Linked DNA regions of Elephas maximus indicus. The protein of the gene in region 1 interacts with the protein of each later gene in a pairwise test. Links are inferred from orthologs where the notes say so. Each region holds a gene or a part of one and is shown in the gene's direction. Other genes may lie near its edges.

Region 1 (7,713 bases):
CCACTCCCAGACTTTTCCAGTAGTTGATCTTCATTTGTTGCCAGATAGACTCATCGGCAGTCTCTCCTGAGCTTCTGACTGCTGCCTTTGCTCCATTAGGAGGTGAGAGCTGCTAGCCTGTCCTGCCAACGGCTTGGCCTCAGGCCTCCCTGTCCTGGGGCTGCTCCTCTGGTCCCACAGTAGATCTATCCCTCTGCCCTATCCATTGACGTGGGTCGATTCTGACTCACAGTGACCCTATAGGCCAGAGTAGAACTATCCCACAGGGTTTCCAAGGCTGTAAATCTTTATAGGAGCAGGCTGCCACAGCTTTCTCCTGCAGGGTGACTGGTGGGTTCTAACTGCTGACCTTGTGGTCCACAGCTGAGTGCTTTAACCACTGAACCACCAGGGCTCCTCCATCTGTCAGTGGACACTTTCATGTTGCTCTGAGGCTGAGCAGGTTTCAGCACTCTTTCCAGACTACGGCTAGGAAGAGAGGCCTGGTGATCCATTTTTCAAGGCCAATCACTGAAAACCCTGTGGATAATAATGGTCCGATCCACAACTGATCATGGGGATGGAGCAGGACTGGGCAGCATTTCACTCCCTTGTGCATGAGGTCGCCATGAATCAGGGACTAACTCGACAGCAGCTAAACGTAACAAGATCTGTGTGCGATCCTTACAAACCTTCCTTCTGAATCCAGGAGCCACTAGAAATATCCCCCAAAGTTCTGAGTTTTCCGTCTGCCCTATGAAGCAAAAATAACAAACGTCCCCTATGGCATCATGCAATTTGAAGGTGACAGGCACCATGATTATCCCCTATCTTCCCAGCCCCTTCCACAAATGAAGAGAGAAAGGTCTGAACATGGCGCCCATGCCCACCTCTGGCTTCTGGACCAAGAGCTGCAGTTCCTGCGGCTCTCAGGGGCAGGGCAGGGGGCCCCACGCTCTCTCGCGGACCCTTCTGCTTGCTGGATTTTGCTGCGTGATTCATCATCAGACAGTGGCAGCGAGGGAGCCAGCCCGAGAGTCCCGGATGCCTGCCCGCCCTTTCCTTTGTCTCGTCTCGACCTGTCTGTTTAGATTAGAAACCCACGAGGCATGTCTTCCTCTGCGCTCTGCGCGGCGCCCACCGATTGTGGATGCTCACGGAACGTGGATGATTGATGATGGTGTGATCTGAGTAGTAACAGGCATTTTGGGGACGAGCTGAAGGAAGCTCCTGAGCACTGGGCTATGGAGGCTGGTGTCCTGCAGAGGGGAAGGGACCCCTTGGATGGGCATCTGGAGACACGGGGACCAGAATGGCCCAGCTCCACATGCTCTTCCTTTTAAAAACAAAAAGCAAATTGATCAAACAAGTCTTCATACAAGCTGCAGTATTGTGACTTAAAAAAAAAAAAAAAACTATTGTAGTGAATATATATAACAAGAAAAAGCAATTTCAACATTTGGTATCATGCCTTTTTAACAGCTGCAGTAATTACGTGTCAGCTGTCGAAAATTTTGAGCCAAAGGGAGCAAGACAATGAGGGCACCAAAACAATGATTGTTAATTGAGCGCTTAGGAGGTGTCAACCCCTTTATGTATGTTATCTCAAAAAAAAAAAACAAAAAACAAAAAAAACTCCATTGGCCCGAGTAGAACTGCTCCGTAGGGTTTCCAAGGATCAACTTGTGGATTTGAATTGCCCACGTTTTGGTTAGCAACCCTGATCTTAACCACTGTGCCACCAGGGCTCCGTGTTAATCTCACGTTAGGTATAATTTCCCCGATTTGAGGACAAGGAAACTTAACTTCTGAGAGGGTGGGTGACTTGTCCACTCCACACAGTGACTACTTCTTGGACCCCAGACTTGCACGCTGGTCTGCTGACACCCATGCACACGGCCTTTCCACCTGCAGCCTCATTTGTTTTTATCAATGTCTTCCTCTGGATGCAGTGAAGGAAGTTCCTCTCATGCTGTAGTGGGTTGAATGGTACCCCCTCTCCAAACCTCTCCTCCCACAAAAAAAAGTATGCCAGGAACCGAGAATGTGACCTTATTTGGAAAAAGAGTCTTTGCAGGTATATTTAAAGATTCAAAATCATTCTGGATTAGGGTGGGCGGTAAATCCCATGACAAGTGTCTTTACAAGGGCAGAAAAGGGGAGAAAACACAGAGAATGTCACATGAAGACCAAGGCAGAGATGGCAGTGAAGTATCTACCAGCCAAGGATTGCTGGCAGCCACCACAGTGGCTCAGTGGTTAAGTGCTCAGCTGCTAAACAAAAGGTTGGCAGTTCACATCCACCAGCAGCTCTGAGGAAGGAAGACCTGGTGATTTGCTCAGGTAAAGATTACAGCCTAGGAATCCCTATGGGGCAGTTCTACTCTGTCGTATAGGGTAGCTATGAGAGTGGCTATGAGTCTGAATTGACTTGATGGCGCACAAAAACAACTAGAAGCTAGGAGACGCATGATATCGATTTTCCCTTAGAGCCTCAGAAGGAACCAACCCTGCAGACACCTTGAGTTCGAACTTTTAAGGTCCAGAACTGTGAGAAAGTAAATGTGCTGTTTTCAGCCGCCCAGTTTGTGGTAACTGGTTGAGGCTGTGCTACGAAACCAGTACACGTGCTAACGTAGCAAGATAGTTAGTGTGTTCCTCCCCTTCCTTCCTTCCTTCAGTATTCCTCATGGGTCTTAGAAAAGACTGGGTCACGGGTCAAAATTGTGCCATCACTTTTTGTTGTTGTTGGGGGCCGTCAAGTCAATTCTGACTCATAGCAACCCTATAGTAGTAATTAAAAACACATCGGCGGATACTAACAGATGCCTTTGTCCATGTGGCACCTTTGTAGGAGCAGAGCTTGTGTTCCTTGGCACTGTAGATCTCTTTGTGGGAGGACAAGGCTCAAATGAATTTGCTGGAATGGACCAGGACGCTGGGCTTGAGGAGCCCAAGGTGGGACTACATCCCCAGGGTGGTAGAACGTGCATCTATGCTGGTGACTCTGACATAGGTGAAATGACATACGTAGAGCGTCTTGCACGGTGCCAGAACTTACTGGGCGTGCAGTAATGTTAGCTTCCTTCTTCTCTCTAATTAGTCTCCTTAGCTCAGCCCCAACCATCGCAGCCCATTGATGGCACAGCCCCTTCCAGGTCTCTAGACCATGGCGACGTCCCCATTCCCGTGTTTGGTGCAGGTCTTCTCGCTATAACTCACCGGATATACAGGTGCTTCCGTGAGGTATGCACAAGTGAAACCTCAGTAGTGTTTTCAGACAATATGGGCGTTAGTCACTTAAAGGAATCCTGAGACAAGCTCCCTTATAAAAAATGAAGAATTCTTTGAAAATGCAATTAATGGCCTTCTTGATTTTTGAGTAGCTATATTTTCCAATTTTTGTACATCGGGTTTCTTAAAGCAGGGTGTAACTTGTAACTTGGGCGTGGGAGACTCTGAATGGCAGCTAAGGTGTCCCTGGACCTGCTGACCCTGGCCCGCCATTTTCTTCCCTGCATATGGCATACTAATAGGGAATTGGGGCTCTCTGGTTAATCAGAGGCTTAAGTTACATCAATAACCAGAACGAATGTCCCCATGAGCAGCCTCTGATAGAATTAAGACCAAATTCTCATGGTAACCACAGAGAAAGTAAATAAAAAATTATATACAGAATAAAACCAAACCCAAACCCATTGCTTCTGAGTCAATAAATGGCTCAGCACATACACACCAAAAATCTATATACAAAATAAGTCAGCACTGGAGGGAAAGGGGAACAAAAATGGGCTAAATCACACAGAAAACTAGTAACAAAATGGCAGAAGTTAAGTCCTCCTTTATCTATAATTACTGTGAATGTAAATGGATTAAACACGTGAGTCAAGAGGCTGAGAGTGGCAGATTGGGTTAAAAAAAAAAAGACTCATCTATACGGTGTTGGCAAAGAATATTGAATATACCATGGACTGCCAAAAGAATGAACAAATCTGTCTTGGAAGAAGTACAGCCACAATGCTCCTTAGAAGCGAGAATAGCAAGACTTCACCTCACATACTTTAGACATGTTATTGGGAGGGGACCAGTCCCTGGAGAAGGACATCATGTGTAGTAAAGTAGAGGGTCAGCGAAAAAGAGGAAGACACAGTGGCTGCAAAAATGGGCTCAAGCATAAGAATTGTGAGGATGGCGCAGGACGGGGCAGTGTTTCATTCTGTTGTACATAGGGCTGTTGTGAGTCAGAACTGACTCGGCAGTACCTAATAACAACAAGAACAACATATGCTGTCTACAAGAGACATGTCTTAGGCACAGAGGCACAAAAAGGTGAAGGCGAATTGGAAAATTTTGTCGAGAGGGGCTGGGCTGCTCCCCTCACAAAGCTCAGATGTCAGCCTTGTGATCTTGATGCAGTTTCTACATTTCCTCCTTTGGCCTGGGCAGAGTTCAGTTTGGGTTCCTTCCTTCTTCAGTGGTCCAACTCCAAGCAGAAGATGCCATGTCTAGAGAGAGGGAAGCAGTCTCAGCCCAGCCTTGCAGTGGGGATGTGAATGGCAGCTGGGATGACCAAACAGGGGCTGCTGTTTGGGCTATTGTGTGTCACACTGACCTGGCCAGGTATGTGGACACAGCCAGGGGCAAGCTCTTCCTGGCCTTCTGATGCCTTATTACCTCCTGCAATGCTCAGAGAGAAACCATGAGCCCTGAAGAACACCATATGGTTTTGTGATGTCACCTCTGGAATGTTCTGAGTGTTTGGATGACCAACTTCTGCAGCAGACCTATACCTGGCACCTCACACTGGTATGCCTTTTTTACTTGAGATAGAAATAATAATCTTAGACAAGGATGTAGGTATGACTGTCTCTGCTTCAAAGACACCCAGAAGGCTTTCACATCAGCTAAAACATCTGTCTTAATTTCTGTTCAGAGACTGATGAACATCTTACCAGATATCATCCACACATTCTTTTAGACTTGGGTTTTCATAATGTCCATGATGGCCCAGAGGGGAATAAAGAAGTACGAAGTGTTGTTTTTCCAGTGCCCAACTGAGGCCCAGAGAATGAGCTGGGAAGCAGAAATCTTATTTTCTCTTTTCCACAGAATTCCTGGCCAAATTTTACAAGGAACAGAGATACCAGATCTGAAAACGTAGAAATTCCAATCAGTGTGGTTCTACTTCAGGTAGGGATTATGACAGAAGGGTGTAACCGCCACATTAGTCAGACTAATCCTCCTCTTTCCAAACTCTAGCATGACGTCTCGGAACAAGTAGAGGAGGCAGGGCCTCAGATTCCAGTTCCGGGTTGGTTGCCGACCAGCTATATGTCTGGGAGAGGCAACTTTGCTACTCTGGGACTTGGATTTCTCTTCCCTCACTTGAAGGGGTTGGGCTAGATCATTCCCTAAGACTTTCCAGTTCTAACATATCAAGTCTCTACAATTCTCTGAAAAAACCTGACCTTCTCAAAATGAGATCTTTTGGCACTAGCCGTTGTGCAACCAGTCTGGATTTCTGGGGGCAGAAATAGGACTAGGTCTTGCAATCAAAAGTATGCAAGCAAATCCATTAGAAGGCCTAGTATACAGACCAAGGGATACAAGACTATTTGGAGGTGTCAAGAGAATTAAGCCCAAAGAAGTAAAAAAAATAATAAAAAATTTTTACTTCTTTTTATGTATCAAAGAAGGAGCTCTGGTGGTACGATGGTTAAGTGCTCGGCTGCTAACAGGAAGGTCAGTGGTCTAAACCCACCAGCAGTTCCACAGAAGAAAAGATCTGGTATCTGCTCCTGTAAAGATTACAGCCTAGTGAACCAGATGGGGCTGTTCTACCGTGTCCTAGAGGGTCACTATCAATCAGTTGATTTGACAGCACATAGCAACACCAATGTATCAAAGAGGAGTCCCTGGGTGGTGAAAATGGTTAAGTGCTCGGCTGTTAACTGCAAAGTTGAACGTTCTAATGCATACAGAGGCACCTTAGAAGAAAAGTCTGGCAATCTACTTCCAAAAAATCAGCCATTGGAAACACCACGGAGCATGTTTCTACTCTGACACACGTAGGGTCTGCATGAGTTGGAACCAACTCAATGGCAACTGGTTTTTATGTACCAAAGACAGAGGGCTTAGGGGAGACTGGCATGCTTTTATGATAGGGATTCAGGCAGAGGTCAATGAATTGGTAAAGTCCTGACAGGCTTGGAATACCCAGATTTCCTCCTGCTGTTTCCTTGGTGGGGTCCTGATTGGATTCCTACTGCTGCTATGTCACAAAGGGTCAGACTTACTTCTCCAGAGTCACTTAAGGCCCTGTTTGAAGACTATGGACGGGCAGCCAGAGGGGCTGAAATGTAGGGTGGAGGAGTCAAATGCAGAGGTAACGATCTGAAAGCTCTGTCCAGGGATGTGTACGAGGAGGCTCGATTGCCAGTGGGCATTCCATATTATTTTTATTTTCCTAAAGTTTTTTCTTAAGAATTTTCAGGAGAAGTACATGATTAGAAAGAAAACCTTTAGCATTCTTTGGGGTCGACTCTGACTCATGGTGACCCTATGTGTGTCAGAATAGAACTGTGCTCGATAAAGTTTTCAGTGGCTGATTTTTGGGAATTAGATTGCCAGGTCTTTCTTCCAAGGTGGCTCTGGGTAGACTTGAACTGCCGACGTTTTGGTGAGTAGTTGAGCTTATTACTTGTTTGGAGCACTCTGGGACTCCCATTCTTCCTATAAACCAAAGAACCAATCTCATTGCCATCACATTACAGCGTAGAGCTGAGGTCCACAGGATTTTGTTGGCTGTTATCTTTACGGAAGTAGATCTCCAGGCCTTTCTTCTGTGATGCCTCTGGGTGGGTTCAAACTGCCAACCTTTGGGTTAGTAGTTGAGTGTAAACGATTTGCACCACCCAGGGACCACCTCCATTCTTTATAAGTTGTTGTTGTTTGTACATGGTGGAGGTAATTTTTACAATCTAGGCAATATGTTCAGCAAGAGGGAAAAATACAGGACAAGAAAACATTCTGGATATATTTTTTTTTTTATTAACTTTTATTGAGCTTCAAGTGAACGTTTACAAATCAAGTCAGTCTGTCACATATAGGTTAATATACATCTTACTCCTTACTCCCACTTGCTCTCCCCCTAATGAGTCAGCCCTTCCAGTCTCTCCTTTCGTGAAAACTTTGCCAGCCTCCAACTCTCTCTGTCCTCCCATCCCCACTCCAGACAGGAGATGCCAACACAGTCTCAAGTGTCCACCTGATATAATTAGCTCACTCTTCATCAGCATCTCTCTCCCACCCACTGTCCAGTTCCTTTCATGTCTGATGAATTGTCTTCGGGGATGGTTCCCGTCCTTTGCCAACAGAAGGTTTGGGGACCATGACCACCGGGATTCCTCTAGTCACATCCAGACCATTAAGTATGGTCTTTTTATGAGAATTTGGGGTCTGCATCCCACTGATCTCCTGCTCCCTCAGGGGTTCTCTATTGTGCTCCCTGTGAGGGCAGTCATCGATTGTGGCCGGGCACCAACTAGTACTTCTGGTCTCAGGATAATGTAGGTCTCTGGTTCATGTGGCCCGTTCTGTCTCTTGGGCTCTTAGTTGTCGTGTGACCTTGGTGTTCTTCATTCTCCTTTGCTCCAGGTGGGTTGAGACCAATTGATGCATCTTAGATGGCCGCTTGTTAGCATTTAAGACCCCAGACGCCACATTTCAAAGTGG
Region 2 (6,865 bases), on another chromosome or scaffold:
GTGGGACTGTCGTCCCCAGGCAGAGGTGGCAGGATGGGCCCTAAGGATGAGGCTGATGGGGAAGGCAGCTCCTCCGGGGGCGTGGACCCTGAAGCCCCCTCCTCCAGCGATGACAGAGACTCATTCCGAAGTGGGTTGTACTTGGGCTTGGGGGGAAGGAGATCCATGGCTGGGGTGAGAGGGGTGCTGCTGCCCAGCCCGGCCCCCCTGCCAGTCAGGGCAAGGGGGCCAGGCAGGAGGCATCCCCAGGCCCTTAGCCTGGTCGGAACTCTATAGCCCAGGGGTCTCAGGAGTCCTGAGGAGGGAGAGAGACAGGTAGCTTCAGCTCCCCCAGCTCAGCCCCAAACAGTTTCAGGGCCCATCTCCGCCCAGCATGGAGCCTCTTCTCTGGCGAGAGGAGAACAGGCTGGACCCAGAGCTGCCTAGCTCCTCCTCAGGGGCGGAGAGCTGAGGGGAGAGACCAATCCCAAGGACAGTGCTGACTCACAGGCTCTGAGGGGCTGATCCCCCACTGCCAACCCAACCTAGAACCCTTGCTGGGTTAGGGACAGCGACGTCCCTCTTCCCCCACCTCCAAACAACCAACCAGCTATCTGGGGAGGAGTAAGGTGGGCGTTGAAGGGAAGGATAGAGGGAAGGAAAGGAGGGAGATAAGAGGAGGTCTGGATCAGTCCAAACCGGACATGGGCAGGCCAGGGGGGAAGCAGGAAACCAGGAAAGGGAGAGGTGGGCGGGGGGGGGGGTGGGGAGCAATGAGGGAGGAAACAGAGACAGCTGGGGGTGGAAAAGGGAGGGGATCCCTGAGCTCAGCACTTTCTTTCCTGTCCTGGTCGAACACTCAAATTTCCCCATCTTCCAGCCCAGGCCACCTCGCCCTTCACTAACACACAGTGGGGCTGTGGACCTAGGGAGCCGGAGCCATTAGCATCCTCTGCCACAACAGCTGTGGACTGGAGGTAGGGAGATGGGGAAGGGAAGGAAGTGGTCCCAGTGGATGTAGAGAGGGGCCAAGACGAAGGGCGAAGCTGGTAAAGTAAGGAGGAAGTCCAACCTCGGTGGTGCATCAGGGAGCCACAAGGCAAGAGCTGGAGCAAGAGGACAGGTTGGCTGCGGCTTCTTCCCTATGCAAGGCACCCACCATGGCAAAGAGCAGCAGCCCACAGCCAGGCACTGTTCTGGCTGCTTTTCCACAGGCACAAGTTAGCAAAGCAAGCTGTCAAAGCTGAGAAGCGGATGGCCTGGGTACTAACTCTAAAGTCAACTCCCCAGTCCTGCCAGGTATACTCATACTCTTCCTCTTGCAGTGGTGACTGGGAATGCCCAGGTGTCCACCATGGAGCACAGTGTCCCTAACACCAGGGAAGGAGTCTGGCTGGGGGAGGTGGGAGAGTGTGGCAGCTCTCCAAGAGAAGTGGGGCCTCCAAGCTACAAAGGGATAGAGAGAACAGAAGACAGATCTATGTTAATAAATACAGGAGAAAGGGATGCCAGGAGAAGATGGGCTGAGGCCGGACACAGGGAACAATCCCGAGCCCATCCCTTCCACCCACAGCTTCCTGTCACAGCTGTGCTTGAGGGGATCACAGAGGAAGTTAGAAAGTGGCCAAAAACAAAAAGATACACATACCCCCAGGATCACCTCAGAATTACCCTATTTTTTTTTCAATTTACTTCAGAGAATAAAAAGAAGGGAATAATCGTATGATTACAGTGATAACAGTACCAGCACTTAAAACGTGTTATATATTGTGCTAAACGCTTTCACCTCCCCTTAGTCTTCATCCCAGAAGAGCTCATCACTCCATCCACCACTCCTGAAAAGGAATTCTATCACTTCATTTCCTAAGGCCTCAGCTCTCAGGCAAACGGAGAATGAGGAAAGGATTCTGCCACAGCCTCACACCCCCCCAAAACACAAACACACACCAAACCCGTTGCCGTCGAGTCAATTCCAACTCATAGCAACCCTATAGGACAGAGCAGAACTGCCCCATAGAGCTTCCAGGGAGCGCCTGGTGGATTCTAACTGCTGACCTTTTGGTTAGCAGCCATAGCACTTAACCCTAATCTTTAGAGATGGCCGTTCTGTGGAGTCTGCAGTATCCAGAGGCAGGGAGTGACCAACAGGTATGGGCAGTTGGAAGAAAAGAAAGAGGAAGTTTAACTCTAAATTTGCATAGGGAGAAAGGAGATTGCCTACTGGGAGTCCCGGTGATTGGGTGTGGGGAAGGAGCTGTGCCTGGCTTCTCAGCCCAGCAGGGAGGAGGCAAGAGGAGCGGGAAGTAGCAGGAAATGGCGAAAGCCTCAGGAATGTTTCCAGTAGGGAAGGCTGGGCAAGCGGAGCCAGGAGGAATGCCCAGGCAAGAACTCTGGTTTGGGGGAAGGGAAGACTGAGGAGTCCCTTAGAAAAAAATCAAACCGCAAAATAGGACACTGCTCCCCATCCCTGCTCCAAACCACCGTTCTGTCTGGTGATAGAAAATTTTGGCTCCTGTCACAAGCACATGCCACACACTAACGAATCCACGGCCCTACCCAACTCCTGCGGTACAGGTACGACTTGCAGCTGTTTCTGGGGTGGACTCGGTCCTGGGAAGTGGGCTGGCAATGGAGGGAATAGGGCTGGGAATCTATGAGCAAGTCTCTCTACCAGTCTCGTGCCAAACCCCAAGTCCAGCCCACTTCAAGCCGGTCCACTCTAGGAAGGGGGGTAAGGGAAAGGAAAACGGTGCCTCTATTCTCCCACTTTTCAGGGCCAGAGATGGGAACTGTGACTTCCCACCCGGTGGAGCATGAGAGCGCAGGAGAACTGAGTCCAAGGACCTGAAAGACGGACCGGGAAGTGTAAGCACGTGAGACTTCTAGAATTGAAGACAAAACTTCAGAGGTGATGACAAGGATAAAGCCCCAGCGGGGGCGTGGCCCCTAGGACGCGAGCAAGGGAAATTTCTATGAGGAGAGGCTTCTGGACGATCAGACTTAGATTAAGGAAAGGGCGGGGCTTCTAGAGGGGCGGGGCTTCTACAGAGGCGTGGCTTCAACGGATTCTCGAATAGTTCTTTGAAGCGCGAGGGTTGGCTTGGCCCTTTTGGGGGACAGGCTTCTTGACAGACAGGAGTTAGCGGAAAACCGTCGCAAGAAGGCGGAGCTTCGGCGACTTGGAAGCATTAACGAAGGGTTTCTCGTAGTAGGGTTTGGAAGCATGTCTAGGGGTGGGACTTCCAGGAAAGATGGACGACTGGGTAGCGTCAGGAACAATAAATAAAAAAAAAAATCACGGTTCAGGGAGCCCCCTGGAGCTGGGAGGTGGAACTTCCGCGGAGGGGGTCGCAAGGGGCGGGACTTAACAATGAAGACCGGAAGTGGGGTCCCGGGAGAGGGGTTCCGGGGTGGAGATGTGGATCACCTAAACAGAAAAAACGTCAAGACTCACCAGGGCTGCATGGAGTCTCCGCACCGCACCGCGGGCCTGTTTGGTTCCGGATTACGCCACTGCCTCCTTAGGTTCCCTCTCCAACTTTCTCCCCGGACCCGGCCTCCCTGGAGAAACTTTATTGCTCTCACTTCCGGTCTCACTAACCCCTGACCCTCTACCTCACCGTCCCTCCTTCACCCGTCCCACTTTCTCGAGTCAGCCAATGGTAGCGCGAGAACGCGCACAGGAGCAGTGGTAGCCAATAAGAGGCCTATTTTTGACCCAAACTCGTTCTTGAGAAACGTAGGACCTACCCTCCAATAAGGACCCTAGTAGTAGTAAATTTAAGCCAATCGGAGGCTTGAAGGTGGAGCTGTCCCGCCTTGAACAAAAGGGACCAATAAGAAGTGTGGGCGGTGTGTTTGAAAGCGAGGCCAAAGGGGGTGGGAGCGCGTGCTGCTGGGAGTTGTTTGGAGGTTGGCGGCGCGGGTCTGAAGTCCCTCAGGCTGAGCGATTATGTCGCACAAACAAATCTACTACTCGGACAAATACGATGACGAGGAGTTCGAGTACCGGTTAGTGCCGGCGCGGGGGCCTTAACGAAGTTGTGAACCTTGTCAAGTGAGGGCACGAGTTAGTAATGAGGACTGAGGCGACAGAATTGGCGCATGCGCGAGAGATGTACGGGGTGGGTTTGAGCCGGGTGAGGCGTAGAGAGCATGCGCGAGGGGTGGGACGCTCTCTGAAAAAGACAAATTGGTTGAAAATTTGGAATAAGCCCTCTGTTGAGCATAGATGGGCGTGGTTAGAGTGCTGACTGCCTTCACCCGTGCGGATTTCTGAATCTTTCTCGCAGCTGCTGGCAAGTTGAACTTGCCTTGCGATTACTATCATAAGAATACCATAGGACCCTAGAGCCTACCGGGAGAAGGTGGCAAAGGCAAAGCTGGAATTTTCCTCGTGTCCTCCGTGCGAGGAGAGACCGAGTGCTGCGGGCGTGGCTGTCCGGCTTATTTTAGGAAGGGCGCTGCTAGGAACAGGAGTGGGAAAAAAACTGGCCAGGAACACTGAGAAAAAACTTACGATGGATCTGATAGATGGCTTCAAATATTTGAAGGGCATCTATTCATGAATCAATTATGGAGGGCTTATAGTTTTCAGGTGTTCTGCCAAGGTGCAAGAATAAGACATGGTCTCAGCTTTCAACGAAAAGTCTTAAAGATACTAACAGACTCCAGAAAGGTGATAAATGCTATGGTGGAGATGTTACAGGGTGTGATGGGAGCACATTAAACCTGCTAAGGGGAAAGATCTGAGAGAGCTTCTTGGAGGAAACTGCCTGAGATGAGGTTCAAGGAAGGATGGAGAAAACAGCTCTGACCAAAATTGTTTTAAAAGATAACTGGATAGCCATCTACCAAGGGTGGTGAAAAAGGAATCCCTGAGTTGGATGCAGAGTTTGCATTGGATAAATTCTAAGTCCATAATTCTAGATTGGAAAATGAGGGAAAGTAGAGGATTCTACAACTTGACATTCTCCTAATCTTTATTAATTGTAATACTTAAGACAACTTCCTAGTTTGCGTCTTGTCTCCGCAATTGTAGAACATAAAATGGAAACTTGCTTTTCTTGTCTCTACACCCAGCCTAGTGAAGGCCACAGGGTGCTCTGGAGTGTGTTCGTAGATAAAAAAGACACATCTCCATGCCAGGTCCTTGGGAAAAGACCCAGGCCCTTCTTGGACTCAATTAACTTTCTTTTCCTCAGCTGTTTTCCTCTACATCTGAACTAAACGAACTAAAACTGTATGCTTATAACATCTTGGCAGAGTTAGGGGGGAGTCACTAGTTTCATCCCCTGGAAGAGAGAACAATGAGCTCGGCAGTGGTGTTTTGGTTTAAGAGGTTATCTATTTGTCGTTTGTTTCATTATGCACTGAAGCCAAACGTTGTGCCCAGAGCTTGTTAGAATGTAAGCTATTTTCAGACCTTTAGGCTAGAACTATGTCTGGAGAAAACCTGTTAATAACTGAGAGGGAGCATTTAGTACATTTGCATTGAGCATGAAGTCTGTCCAGGTTAGCCCAATTCAGAATCAGAGTAATTTTTTGCAATGAAGAGAGACTTATCCTTGCTTAGGAAGGTGTGAAGTTTCCCAAAAGAAGTGTCATGACACATCCCTTCAGAGTTAGGAAAATGAGATTTGGGCTAGATTTTCAAGAATTAAGACATGTCCTTTTCATCCTTTCAGTGGCCCTTCCACCCAGCAGTCCATGTAGGCCTTTCCACAAAATGACTTCACTTTCTTGCCAATCCTTTCAGAACTCAGTTAACAGCTAGACGATTATAAGCTCCCTGACAATGTCTCAAGAGTGCTCGCTCATTTGAATTATTCATTAATTTGTACTTTTTAGTGTACTTTTGTGAGGATTTACATAACTTGGTCTGTATTTATAGCTGTCTCTAGCCCACAGTATAAGCCCTGGTGGCACAGTGGTTAAGAGCTTGGCTGCTAAACAAAAGGTCGGCAGTTCGAATCCACCAGTTGCTCCTTGGAAACCCAATGGGGCAGTTCTACTCTGTTCTATAGGGTTGCTAAGAGTCAGAATCCACTTGACAGTAATGCGTTTAACCCCACAATAAGATTGTATAAACTCCCTGACGTGAAAAACTAGTTTCTCTTTTCTTTACTCTCTTGGCTTTGTATGCTATTTTATTTAACAGACTGTACCCAGTACTGACAAATTCCCTTTCTCCCCTTGTTTCTGTTACAGGCATGTCATGTTGCCCAAGGATATAGCCAAGCTGGTCCCTAAAACCCATTTGATGTCTGAATCTGAATGGAGGAATCTTGGTGTTCAGCAGAGTCAGGGATGGGTCCATTATATGATCCATGAACCAGGTTAGTGGTGTGGCTGAAAGCAACCATACAAGACTGCTACATGGAGGGAGTAAGATTCCACAACCCAAAGAAGTGGGGGGAGGGACGATTTACTGACCTTTTTCCCACCAGCCATCTAGAAAAACTGGAGTGACCAAAAATAAAAATTAAAGTATCTGGGGAGTTTAGAGCCAGCCTGTCACTGAAAGCCCCCTTTAATCTTTAACTCAGCCAGAGAGTACTCTTTTTAAGGCCTGATATATCCTGGTAGAGGTTGTAGCCCCTGCTTCATTCTCCATCAGAAAGCCAGTTCTTGGATGTGTTCCAGATAAGCCAAGGAAAGTATATTTCGTGATAAGACACCAGACACCCGGCTGCCAGGCAAAACTAATAAAGGACACTCCAGGGCTGTACAAACATAGTAAACGAACTGATATTAACAATTCTGTAGTTGGCAGACAGGCCAGACTTCTGGGTCTGCTTCTGAGGCCATATGCTTAAATCTTAAATTAGTTATAAAGATCTGAGTGGGTGATAGCTCGGAGGTTGGAGTGGGATGGGCTGGGATA

The links.
Region 2: the proteins of CBY2 (region 1) and CKS1B interact in binary tests that used the Homo sapiens proteins (3 or more experiments, as listed by UniProt). The two-hybrid records come from large-scale screens. The link is inferred for Elephas maximus indicus from reciprocal best matches to the Homo sapiens genes CBY2 and CKS1B.

What each region holds. Positions count from the first base shown.
Region 1 is NC_064832.1:34,356,282-34,363,994, reverse strand, and holds the start of CBY2 (protein chibby homolog 2), read left to right. Parts: upstream 1-4,710; coding exon 4,711-4,785; intron 4,786-5,088; coding exon 5,089-5,169; intron 5,170-7,713.
Region 2 is NC_064821.1:192,881,125-192,887,989, forward strand, and holds the start of CKS1B (cyclin-dependent kinases regulatory subunit 1), read left to right. Parts: upstream 1-3,856; 5' UTR 3,857-3,931; coding exon 3,932-3,990; intron 3,991-6,189; coding exon 6,190-6,317; intron 6,318-6,865. Other genes in the region: SHC1 (SHC-transforming protein 1), read right to left, coding at 1-167.